Linked DNA regions of Drosophila melanogaster. The gene in region 1 interacts genetically with each later gene. Each region holds a gene or a part of one and is shown in the gene's direction. Other genes may lie near its edges.

The links.
Region 2: of hec (region 1) and fru, changing one enhances a phenotype caused by changing the other (phenotypic enhancement), as found in Drosophila melanogaster (one study listed by BioGRID).

The regions. Positions count from the first base shown.
Region 1 is NC_004354.4:12,951,349-12,959,564, reverse strand, and holds the start of hec (hector), read left to right. Parts: upstream 1-2,102; 5' UTR 2,103-2,347; intron 2,348-4,981; 5' UTR 4,982-5,025; coding exon 5,026-5,200; intron 5,201-5,731; coding exon 5,732-6,032; intron 6,033-6,587; coding exon 6,588-6,678; intron 6,679-6,743; coding exon 6,744-6,835; intron 6,836-6,936; coding exon 6,937-7,063; intron 7,064-7,156; coding exon 7,157-7,258; intron 7,259-7,501; coding exon 7,502-7,620; intron 7,621-7,744; coding exon 7,745-7,818; intron 7,819-7,881; coding exon 7,882-8,216. Other genes in the region: CG32642 (uncharacterized protein), read right to left, coding at 16-283.
Region 2 is NT_033777.3:18,542,516-18,547,507, reverse strand, and holds the start of fru (fruitless), read left to right. Parts: upstream 1-1,921; 5' UTR 1,922-2,395; intron 2,396-4,992. UniProt on the Drosophila melanogaster protein: Probably acts as a transcriptional regulator.

The DNA.
Region 1 (8,216 bases):
GAATTGAGAACTTACCCTTCTTTCCGGCAAACAACAGTTTCAAGTTCTGTGAGTCCAGGCGGCACTTGCTCGAGAATGGATGGTAGCTATAGCCATCGGTGGCGCAGACAGCATAACCACCTGGTGGGCACACTGCATCGTAGTTGACATCCGCAAAGATGTAGTCAAGTTCAGAGCCCGAATAATCACTATACCAATCGTAGTCCCCCTTAACGCCGACGAAAGCCAGGACGAATGTCAGGAGTAGAGCTAAGGAGCTGGACTGAGACCTTGGATGGAACATGTTGCCGATGGAACTGATGTCGCTGACCATGTAGATCCCCGCTTTTATGGGTCAGCGACACGACTGAGAAATGGGGTCTGGAACGTGCATGTGATTACGGTCTTTACATCACTCTCGAGCATTTTTTTTTATGTTTAAAACCCCGTCTCCCCGGCTTTTATCACTACGGAACGTGCGACCGAAGTGCGGTGACACTATGCCATAGTAATATGGTATTACCTAACAAAAAAATCGTTGTCTTTGCCGCTGTTTAAACTCTCCAACTAGCACTTTAAGCTCGCTCAACTGGCGCCAGATTGTTCTTAACGTGGCTAACTGGATTAATGTCGATAGAACCTGACCTAACTAATCTTGCACTCTTCTTTTGAAGAGAGTGGCATAAAAAAATGTCGTCATGCTTGTATTAATACAATGCTTATTAATCACAAAGGTCCAAATGTTACCTTAGTTTAGCCGAAGTTTAATCAATCTTGGCTTATACAATTACAGTGATTCAACTTTAAGTACAAGCCAGGTAACCAAGTAATACTATGTTATAAGCAAACAATTAAAAGGTGTAAACTTGTACCCAATCTCGTTCTTGCTCCTGACCATTCATAAAAGTAAAGTGCACTTACATATATTTGCGGACATGTGCAGAAAATTATATTGCAAAGGCGATTTGCCTTAAATTCACTTTTATGGGCGGCATGCCATTTTACGAGCTGAGAAGCCAGAAATTTTCACACCACACTGTGTGCTGCTAATTGTGAAATACATTTTATATGAAATTCTCTTACATTTTGTAAAGAATTCTTTATCAATCCTAAGTCGATGTCAATTTTGTCTAAAGAAACGTCAGATAACCGCATAAAATATTTATACACGCTTGCTATGCAGGACATCATCAGCTATTCAGGAATAAATTTTATGAAAGTTTGCTGAGGTATTTTACATGAATCGAGAATTGAAGTGAACTGAAACGAAGTATTCACTAAAGTTGAATCTTAAAGGTTACTGCATGATAATAATAAAGTTGCATTGCAATCGCATCAAATGCTTTTAACTGCAGTTTCAAAGTGAAACAAACACCAGTATCCTTGTACTTGAGAAGTCTTAACCCTTTGTTTGCCCAATTGTTATTGCTAAAGAATTGCTATCAGGTCGTTTTATTATATACAGATTGTATTGATGATAAACGAGTTAAAAATTAAATTTATTGGTTTCTATAGATTTTTTAATTATTTTATTAAATTAATAAAATATTATATTAAAATATTATTATTACTTCTATCCTTATAAAAACACGATTAAAGTAAGCCAATAAATATATATTTTTAATTGGATAGACCCAGTTGGGTTAAATAAATTTCTTTAACAAAATTCGAAGTCCTTAGGAATTTGTGGGTCCCAGCTGTGTGCGCCACGCCCACCTAGAAAACTGTTATACACGCCCACGACAAGCAATTCACAAAGGCATAGAAGCAGTGCGCCGACAACTTGTTGCTGGCAAGCAGTGTTCGGCAAAGCAGTACTCGTACACTGAAAGAAAGTATAAGTTCTACACTATTCAAATAAAATCGATAATGTATTCTCACTTTTAATGCCAAATATTATTAGAAGAAGTGTGCTAGAACTTAAATTAAGATGAAGATACTTTTGACATTTGTAGTTTAAATATATATTTTTTAATGCAAATACCCACTTTCTCACTTTCTCTTTTTTCGTACATTTCCTTCAGTGTGCCAGTATGGTGTATGGGCGTGAAAATGGGGAAAATGGGGAAAATATGAGGAAACTGCCAGCCACATCGGCAGGCGGTTTTTGCCGGATGCCGTACCATTTGCCAGCGGCACGCGGAGCAGAGCGGTGCGAAAATCGGAGTGGAGCAGCCAATTTTGAATACCGATAACATAAAGCGCATTTTTTGTCCGTGTTTCTAATATATATTTTTTTTTTTTTGTGTTTTTGTGTGCTGTTGCTGTACGTGACGAGCGGTGAACTGAAACCGAATCAATTGTTTAAGTTTTCAATGAATGGCAGTGGCAAACAATTGAATGAATTCAATTGACTGTGGGGCCCCATGTAAGTGATCTGTTGGCACCTGTTTTTGCGTAAATTCTCGACACCTTTTATGCGAATATCAGGTGAATATAATTTTGAAACATATTTGAACAAAAAATATTTCAGTAAATAATTAGCATAATTACTGCGCCGCATGAGACTTCATTTTCGAGCATTTAATTAAGTAAACAATCGAATTAAATATTTGCGTACACAGTACAAATAAATAATTCGATTTCAAGCCCCATCCTATTTGCGGTTGTTTTATGCGAAAAGTTTTTGCGCTACACAGGGAAAATACGGCAGTGATTGGCAGGAAATAAGGAAATGAGTGTTATAATTCGCAAGGTTGGCAACTTTTATGCCCAGTAGATCCGTCCGGGGGATTGGAATTCCGGATGATGATTCGTGGCCAGTCCGGCGTGCGTAATTGCATTTGGTGACCCAGGCGATGTGGATGAAGTAATTTGTTATTATAATTGATCCGCCAAGAATGGCCGAATAATGTGGCATTATTTCGCATGTCCGCTTTCATTTCGAGTGCGTGTCCTGGTTTATGTGTGTGTGTGTGTGTGTGTTTGTGTGCTAGTCGGTTTGCGTGGCATTTCCGTTTCCGGCCTGCAAATGGCGCTAGCATCATTAACCGCATTGACGGCTTTTCCCACCGCCTCTATTAATTTTATTTCTCTTTATTTTTTTTTGTGCTAGGCTGCTAGACAAAACAATTCATCATCAATATTCAGCATGTGTACATATAATTATTCCTCTGGCAGCTTTTTGCTCCCACCCCTATTGATTGGCCATTTGTATCTTTTGCAGCGGGCGGTCCTGTCGCCAAAAAAACAAAAGAAAAATAAGTCCTTTCTCTTTCGCCACCCATTGTTGACAATAAATTTCAATATCGTGCATAATTTATGCAAGCAAACGTTTTCAAATTATTTGTGTTTTATGAATGCTCCAAAATGAGTGCTCCCCCATTCCTATGGCTGCTATTCCTCCCCAAGTATTCAGCATCAAAAACTATGCAAAACAAAACAATTTGCCAAAAATGTTGCAGATGCTTGCGTATTCCTTGAAGCATTTCCTTAGTTTTGTGGAGCAAAATCTTGGCCACACAGCGCGCTTCAGATTTTCTTGTAATTTCCCTGCATACTTTTTTTTTCGCCAAGTCAGTAGTCGTTAAAACAAAACGGCAAGGGAAATTTTATAGTTGGGCAAAGTAGTTTATCTAATTTAAAATTGTTTAGAACTGGCTGTAGTAAAAGTAAAAAAGTAGTAAAAGTAAAAATGTTGTCTAGTTTAGTCAGTGCTACATTTTCTCACTATTGCTGAGAGCAGCTTGCTTGCAAAATGCTTCTTTAACTAACAGCGAAAAGTAATTGCGAAATATTCTAAAAAAAATATACTTAACTTTTTGTGCTATTAGATGAGCCATAATTGTTTTAGTAAAAACATATTTGTAGTCGGTATTTCTTTATACGCATTTAACTAGCGTGAGAAATGGAATCTGTTGAATAAGCGTAGTGCCACTTAAAGTGTAATTTGCCTCATAGCAAATGATAAAGCGGGAATTCTGCAATGGATTTAATTCAAAGGAGGGGGAATGTGAATGCAATTAATGCTCATTAGTGCTTCAAGACAGCCATTTGAATTGATGGCCAACAAAGGGCGCTCTAGTCCTTGGTCCTTCCATCGTCATGCTCCGCTTACCTGCGGCTAATTGCCTGGCCGAGACACTTGCAAAAATATATATAACATGCAAGAATGTTTAGCCAGGCGTCATATCCATCATGGGAAACTGTCCCAGTTCGGTGTAATAAATTAATGCCGCAAATTAAAGTTTAGCTTGGGAGCGGGAAAATCATCTTACTTTGTATGTATCGTGCATGCTAGATTTTCCAGTGCCTGGTGCAGGCTTCTGTCGAAACTCAATCAAGTGAAATGAGTTTTGATTAAAAATATAACCAAGTTAGGCAAGAACTTTGCAGCTCATCCCGCCTTTTGGGCCACGTGTTCGGTGCGGGTGTGTGAGTGTGTTTATGTGTTTGTGTGTTTGTGTGCCCCCACGATCAAAGTGCATTTCATTTGAGTTTTTAACCCGTGGCATTTGCTTTGTCTCTCTGTGCGACGAAATGCAATTAAGTTCGCCCAACCACGGTAGCAGAAATAGCGACACAGTTAAGCACCGCCATTAATTAGACAATAAACTGATTTACAACATATGAGAGACGAGTAGGTGACTCGGCTCACACGACACTCAGGTGCTTCGATATTTTGAGTGTGTGTGTGTGCCCCGTGTGGATATTCCATTTCCTTTGGCACCATTTCCCCGCAGACAGGACCCCACAACAAATATCAACCCAACTCAGGCAACTCTTTGAAGCCTAACCAAATTAGAAATGCACACACGAATGGACGGCCACAAGGGACTCAAGTTCGCTTCGCTATGGCGAAATACAGTGAGAACTAATGTTAAATATAAGAAAATATATTTAAATCAGAATAAATTTTAAAAACTAGCTCATACAAGTTTCTATGGGTAAGCAACACTTGTTTAAAACCTTTCAAATTGCCTCTGATAAATTATTGCAGTTGATTATCCTATTTATCCCGTAATTCTTTGAATTATATTTATATTATTATATTTTTTTTTAGTGCATTAGCCGTTGACAAGAGTTAGTCACGTTGAATAACCCACAATGGCGACAACCTCTTCAGATTCGGAGTCGCAAAATGTGGATGTGGCATCGCAGGCCCAAACGCAGGATAATCTGCGCATATTTTTAAAGCATTTGTATGCGGAGTGCGTGTTCCGATACCAGAATGTCACATACGATACGGACGACCCATCATTTTCACTTGGCCCAGCAACAGGTGAGTGGCGGCCAACAGGCGTATACGTGATTTGCCGCGAAAAAATAGCAGAGGCATAAGACAGATAAGAAAGAGAAGAGAATTAAATTAAATTACAGCCCATCTGATTTCATTTAATGCATTTCAAAGTAATGTATTTAAATATATACAAAATCATTGACTTACTTCTTGGGGATGCAAATTTAAACATGGGTTTTCGTTTCAATGCAAATCATTGGCATCTCAGGACAAATTTATAAATTTAAATAGCACTCAACACCTTTACCAAATGTACATATATTTTCAACCAGAATTTATGAATTATACCCTGCTATAAAGAACGATGATCTATTAACTATCTTAAGCAAGTTATGTACATTTGAAATACCACTTTATTTTACATATGTAAAGCAAGCATGCAATTGAATTGAACTTGAAAACTGAATTACATCACTTTCAGTTATGCAGCCCATAGATACTATTATTAAAAATGCTATATTTTTATACATTAAAAAGTAAACCCATTTTAATGGCACTTGTCGCCGTGCACAGACTACGATTCCGATTTGCCGGAGAACTTTAGCCCAGTGCCGCGATATCTGGAGAATGCCGCGATGAACGAGGGCGTTATTGACATGCGAAACGTGGACGAGGAGCTGGCGGAGAAGGAGGAGCTGATGGCCACCGTCGTCAGTGCCACGATGGCCACAAATCAGAAGGAGAACCGACTCTTTTGCCCCCTGAACTTTGACGGATATCTCTGCTGGCCAAGGACTCCGGCCGGCACTGTGCTGAGTCAATATTGTCCCGATTTCGTCGAAGGATTCAACAGAAAATTTCTGGCCCACAAGACGTGAGTTAAATGCCCAATATGCCTGTATATTACGCCACCACGAATAGGATAGATTTTCATTCCGTTCAGGATTTCGCATGGTCAAATAAGCTCTGCAATATGTAATATTCGTTTGAGCATAAATTCGAAAATATCTTGCCATATTCGGCATTTGCTTTAATGTGTTCTGTGTGTCATAAAATACAATGTTTATGTATGAGTGCGCTACAAACAGGGAAAATCCTATAGAGTTTACATTCGTGTCTATTACATAAACTCGCAGCATATCTCAGAAAAAGATGATGGAAAATGAAAGAAAAATAAAACCTTCTTCAACTCTTGCAGAGATAATCTCCCTAAGTGTACTGTAGCAGCACTCTAAAACTTGCACTACATGTATGTATCTCCAATTTAATGGATAGCGTTCATCTCACTTTACACGCCAACTGAGCTCAGCTGGCTCCTGGTAAAGTTGGGTAACTTGTGCATTGTCAGGCGCTTTGTTAGAAATACCCCCTTTACCCATCAGTCCGCACTTAGCCAGTCACAATTATCGTAAGCATTTCGCATTCATAGCTGCCTGGAGAACGGCTCCTGGTACCGTCATCCGGTTAGCAATCAGACCTGGTCCAATTACACCAACTGCGTGGACTATGAGGACCTGGAGGTAAGTGCTTCGGCGGCATCAAGCGGGTGGTACATGGGCATTAATCAAGAAAGTTGCCACTGCAGTTTCGCCAGTTCATCAACGAGCTGTACGTGAAGGGTTATGCCCTCTCCCTGCTGGCCCTGCTCATATCGATTATTATTTTCTTGGGCTTCAAGTAAGTGTTTGTCTACGACCCACACGGTTCCTTTCCCTCCGGTAACTGACGGCCGGATATCCCTTTTCGTTTCTTTCCGTTCCGTTCCATTCCGTTTGCAGATCCCTGCGCTGCACCCGCATCCGCATCCATGTACATCTGTTCGCCTCGCTGGCCTGCACCTGTGTGGCCTGGATATTATGGTATCGTCTGGTGGTGGAGCGTTCCGAAACCATAGCCGAAAATCCGGTAAGATGCACTGAGAAAAGTAACTATGAAAATAACATAGCCCTACAAGTAGCTAGGCAATTATACAAAACCATAAACATAACTAACTTTCAGCTGTGGTGCATTGGGCTGCATCTGGTGGTGCACTACTTTATGTTGGTCAACTATTTCTGGATGTTTTGCGAGGGCCTGCACCTGCACCTGGTGCTCGTTGTGGTGAGTTATCCTTACTCGTCTGGCAATCTGGCAATTGCCTGCACAAGTCTGCATTCTTTATGGGCGACTTCTGTGCATGGCAGATGTGATTTCCTGCAGCCGCTGACATGGCAATGGTTCACCCCCAGCAATTTGTCTGAGAGCAAATCGCAACGTTGGCCAACTGCTTTACGTCTGCGTCAAGTTGAGATGTCAGGAATGTCCGTTCAGATCCTGACGCCCCTTCTTCTTTCCATTCGCCAGGTCTTTGTCAAGGACACGATTGTGATGCGCTGGTTTATTGTCATCAGCTGGTTTTCACCCATACCCATAGCCATCGTCTACGGTCTGGCCAGGCATTTCAGTAGTCCGGACAATAAGCAGTAAGTTATTTTCACAATTTTACACAAGACATAATCCTGATTGATTTGGTTTTTGCATTGCATTTATTAAGAGATTACATTCTACGCTATATCCATGGTAACATTTCTTTTCACATTATTGCAGCTGCTGGATAACTGACAGTCTCTACTTGTGGATCTTCTCGGTGCCCATAACTCTTTCGCTGCTGGCCAGCTTTAGTAATATGCATAATTTTCTTTAAAAGTACAATATTGCTCAGCTATATGCATTTTACCCAACAGTTTTTCTGATCAACGTACTGCGAGTGATCGTGCGAAAGTTACATCCCCAGTCCGCCCAGCCGGCACCGTTGGCCATCCGGAAGGCGGTTCGGGCCACCATTATTCTGGTACCGCTGTTCGGACTGCAACACTTCCTGCTGCCCTACCGTCCGGATGCCGGCACCCAGCTGGACCACTTCTATCAGATGCTATCGGTGGTGTTGGTCAGCCTGCAGGGCTTTGTGGTCTCCTTCCTGTTCTGCTTCGCCAATCACGATGTCACCTTTGCCATTCGCACGCTGCTGAACAAGTTGCTGCCCAGTTTAGTGACCCCGCCGCCGGCCGGGAGTAATACT
Region 2 (4,992 bases), on another chromosome or scaffold:
TAATTTCAAATCGGTGATTCCCCTCGTCTGTCGTTTAGCCCCCGAAATGCATGCCACATTGGGTGGCAGTTAAGTCCGGCTCCTTGGCAATTAAAACGAACAATGCATTTTCGCAGTTTTCATTCGCCAAAAGCGAGGAACCGACCAAAATACCCGATCTTTCATATAGGACAGTCACATAGGGCCAGCACTATATTCCAATTCGCGTAGGTGGAGCACCGACTTATGTAATACTCGATTTTTTGCTGCTCGTGCTATATTTGTTTTTGTTTATTTTCGTTTATTGTTGTTGTTGCGATGGGCTGGGGAAATGCGCAAAAGAGACGGATAGTTGCAACATGTTCGATTGCAGGGCGTTGGAAAAAAGTTAACTGCTGTAAACAGCGCAGGCCTTACAGAGAGAGAAAATGGGGGCAACTCGAAATGAGAGCGAGCGCGAGTCCTGGCGAGAGGAGACTTCGGCAAATGCCGGCCACGTGACATTGTTGCACTTCCTGGCCGCGCGCTTGTGTGTGTGTGTGTGTGTGTGTGTGTGGGCGCTTGATAAGCTTGCAACGAAGCTATTAATCAAAACAGAATCAAAAAATCCGCTTCGCTGTGTGCGTGCGAGAGAGAAACACGTGCCGGCCCAGTTAACAGAGGTCCTTTAGCAGCGCTCTGCTAACAACGCCGGTTGGCAACAGCAAACGTTGGTTGGCTTGGTTGGTGGAAAACTTTCCACTCGGCCTCTCTAATAATAGATTTTATCATTGCCGAGTAAACCGAGTCGGTGTATTTACTTCGTGTAATTAATGCCTGGCTGCTTTGCGATTTTAAGGTGGTTTAATCGGACGATTAGGTGGCTAGACGCTGGTATCAATTGGCCATTTCGCAATTTGCATTTTGTGGTAATCCATTTTCATATTGGTTGTCATTCCCGTAGGGGCAATGAGGCCGTATCGTGCCCCCTTCTAGCGGCGTATTAAGTCGATTGCAAGAGTCTCAAATGTATTCCGGCTTTAGTGCTCAGCTTGTTTGTCCAACACTTGGCACGCACACGCAGCTCCGCAGGTACAGTGTACACCCTGTAATCGGGATCGTAGCGAAAGCATATATTTAATACATTTTTGATAAATTGTTTGTTAGTTTTCCCTACTCATCAATTATTAACGTTAAGTTGCCTACTTATGTTTGCTATTCGTATTGAAATCATATTATATTCAATTAATATTTACTTAAAGTAAACATTGCCTTTTTAAAAATATATATATTTTCGTTTTCTAAAGCTAGTTAATTGAGTACCCACTGTATGTGGCAGTGTCCTTGTACTTTTACATAATAAATCAAACCCCACCGAAAGGAACGGAAATGAAAGTAAGGCAAGGAAGAGGAAGGAAACGAAAAGAAATGCCACTGCGGAAAGCCAAGAAAAGAAAAGTGCATTTGCACGCTAACAGGAGCTGTTACCATTTCACTGATAAGAGCCGGCAAGCGCGAACAGCTGTTCGAGAAAATCCTCGGAGAGAAAGCAGCCAAGGATATCGAGAGCATTTCTCTTCGCTGTAAACGGGCACTGTAAAGGCGGCCAGTTGTTGACTGGGAACTAAGCCAATTGCACAATGTGGGCCGAAGTTGATGTCGTGTTGCTGCTGTTGCTGCTGCTGCTGCTGCTGCTGTGTGTGTTGCAACACGAGCAACTACAAGTGCAACTACACAACCCTTCGACTGCAAGGACTTCGGCAGCAACGAGCATGTATATGTATTCCACCGAACCCACCATGTACTGCGTTTATGTGTTGCTGCTGCTTTTGCCTTTGACGCTGCTGCTGTCGCCGTGCTGCGCCTGCTGCTGCTGCGTTTCGTTGGTGCTGCGACAGCAGAGTCGTTGCAACAATCGCAGCTTGCACATCCAGCAGCAGTCAGTTGGACGCGGCGGCTCCTTCAGCAAGGACGCACAGCTCACACAATCCCTTCGAAGGAAATCAGCAGCCGACATACCGAACGACCTGCCACAACATTCCAATTCAAATCCAATCCAATCCAGACTTTGAAGTCCTGTAAAGCGTTTTACATTCCGCTTACATAAATGCTAGAGCGCTGTAAAAATCGGCGCTAGAAACGCCAATTAGCCAAACATGTTAGCCATGTTTTAGTCGGTCCTTTCGCGCTTGACTTGTTTTGCAACTGTGTGCGTACGTTTGAGTGTGCGAGTGCCGCCCGATTTTGTTTGTCCTTTTTTTTTCTGTTGGTGTCTCACCGAGTGCCGTTTTAAGCCAAGATACTACAGACATACTAGCGACTAGCTAATACATATTAACTTGTTGTGCCAGCGTTTTGTGTGTGCCAGTCAGCCTCTGCTGAGTGCATTTTCATTAAAGTCAACAAGTTGCAGCCGCATAAGGTCAAATAAAAGCAGGTGAGTCTGTGTTCCCGGCCAACAAGAGCCAGGTATTCCTATGTAAAGTTACTTAAAGTGCAGGTGATATGCTCTTCTGAGAGCAGATTTTATGTTGTTCAAATTGTATTAAGTGGTTTTGTGGAATACGTTAAGGGCACAGGTACAAAACCAATATTAAAAAAAAAACATTTGTTTGCTCATTTTCTTTGTATAAATATTTATTTTAACTAAGTCTTTTGAAAATTTTATAATGTGGGTTCTAAAAATATTTAAAGTGCATTCTCACTATGTGCTATCTATTATGAAGTACGTGTTTATCAATTAGGTTTTATATTTAAAAATGTTAGATAGGTTCGAAAACGTTGGGGTTTCCAAGTTTTAATATAAAATAAATATATTAAAATATTTGAGTGAGTATCCAAGCAGTTAATATCTATGGTACTGCAAGAAAATTCACTACGTTAACACATTTAAAAAATATTCATCCATTCACATCAGTACAGATGTATAAAATAATTAATAACAGGTCAGACAAATATATGGTCCTTATTTACCTTTAATAATTACAAAGAATTTTTAGAAAATTAAATCATAGAATCTACTGACAGAATTAAGATATACCTAAATTAAATTACAATAAATTATTTTTCTAAACCACATTGAGGTGTTTTGCAAGAATACTATACTGCTAAGAAACATTCGGTTCAGTTATAACAACAAAATCTTCGAAAACTTTTAACTAGCAAATTAAATTACAACAAAACCTAAAGTTGGCTGAGCACAATTCAAATTTCAGTTTCTTATATTTTATTAGCAAATATCAGTTTACTTCATCTGCATTTGATTCAGTTTATTCAGAAGTTCAGCAGACCAAGGCCAATTGCAAACTGGCTAATCCGTGTTACCAATTTATATTCAATAATATATTTGAGTACTCTTACATCTCCCCCGGCCAACATAAATTTGGTTTTTAAAGGCACCCAAAAATATTTTGACAAATTATGAGGTAGGAATGTGTAGTAAATATTTCCAGAGATTAAATGACAAGTCTAAAGGGAAAATATATCTACGCTCTTAATGATCCTTTGTAATAACTACAAATCTGTGGGCCGGGTGCATCCTGGCCGTGTCCTGGCCATGTCCTCAATTTCGTTGAGTTACAAAAGGTTTAAGTAAGTAAGCAAAACGGTAGGAATCGAGTAATCGCTCTCAGGGGCATAGTTTAATATTGGATTTGTAATGGAAATCAATATTGCCCGAGGAAAATTTATGCAGAGGCCAACAAAGAAAGCAAACCATTCAAATTGAACCGGGCCAATAAAATTGCAGTGCGAAGTTTGCGTCCGAGTTTGATTTGAGTTGTGCTGAATCGTCAGCCTTGGCATTGCCAATTTCATTAGGGGCCATAAAGGGAAAGAGTCCGCTTGTAATTGCAATTAGTTTTATCGTAACTTGCAGTTAAATAATCAAAACATTTTCCCAAGCTTCCGTCCCCATCGTCCGTCCACCGAAAACTCTTTGTAATGCAAAACTTTTTAATCCGACGCCTTGGTTTGTTTACACGAACTGCCAGCGCCCCGCCCACAGCGCCCCCGATCCCTATCCACACTCCAGACAATAACAACAACGTTGACAATAAAAACAGGATTGACAGGATACACCCCAGGAAGTCGATACGCTTAATACCCTTGCACGAAAAGTGCCTAAAAATAGATGGGAATCTATTTCGGTAGAAATTAGGATGATTTAAGAAAGTTACTCTTATTATATGAGTTAAAATAAAGTAAAAAGCAGACCATATCAACTTTAAATTAAAAAATGTGAACTCAAACGATGCAAGAGTATATAATATTTCAGTTAATCTTATTATGAAACAGAAAATCAAGTTAGAGCTTGTAAACTAAATGGATTAGGAAAAAATCGGGAGTATATATATTAATTTTTATAATGATTTGGCAAAATTATATTTTAAATTTCATTAGATAAATAGATACATCTCAAAGGATTTCCTTCGTAGAAAAAAATTGCTTGAAGGAAATGCTGAATAAACTCTTTAAATATTTTTAAAGTCGCATTTGTTTAATACAACTCCTATACAGTTGAGCATATTCTGAATAGCACTTACAAAAAAGTGCTTACCAAAGTTACTAGTTTTACTTCATAAAACAGTACTAGTGCGGCTGCATTTTCCTGAGAGGCTTGTAAAGTTCTTGTTGCAGCAGTGCGACTCCCTTTCAGGGTATGAAAATAAGAAAAATTTGCATATTTACACAAGACAATTTACACACTCTCCCAGTCGGCTGACTGAGTGACTGAGTGAAGGGCCCCTGCGAGGCAGGGACGCAGTTTTCCAGCGGGGCGCGGGAATGCGAGATTGAGTGGGTGGATTGAGGTTATTTTGTAAATTGTGTGTAAGCCGAACTGCTGCGACTGCAGCCTGATGAACAGCCAGTGCCAGAACCGTTACAAAAGTCCAACAAGTTGGGAGGTGGGAAAAGTCGGGGGAAGCACGGGAAAATATGGGTAAAATATGGGTGGAAGTAAAAGGGGGGGGGGTGGCTTGGGGCCAAAGGGCGGTCTGTAACGGATGACAAGGACAAGTGAAGTGAAGTGTC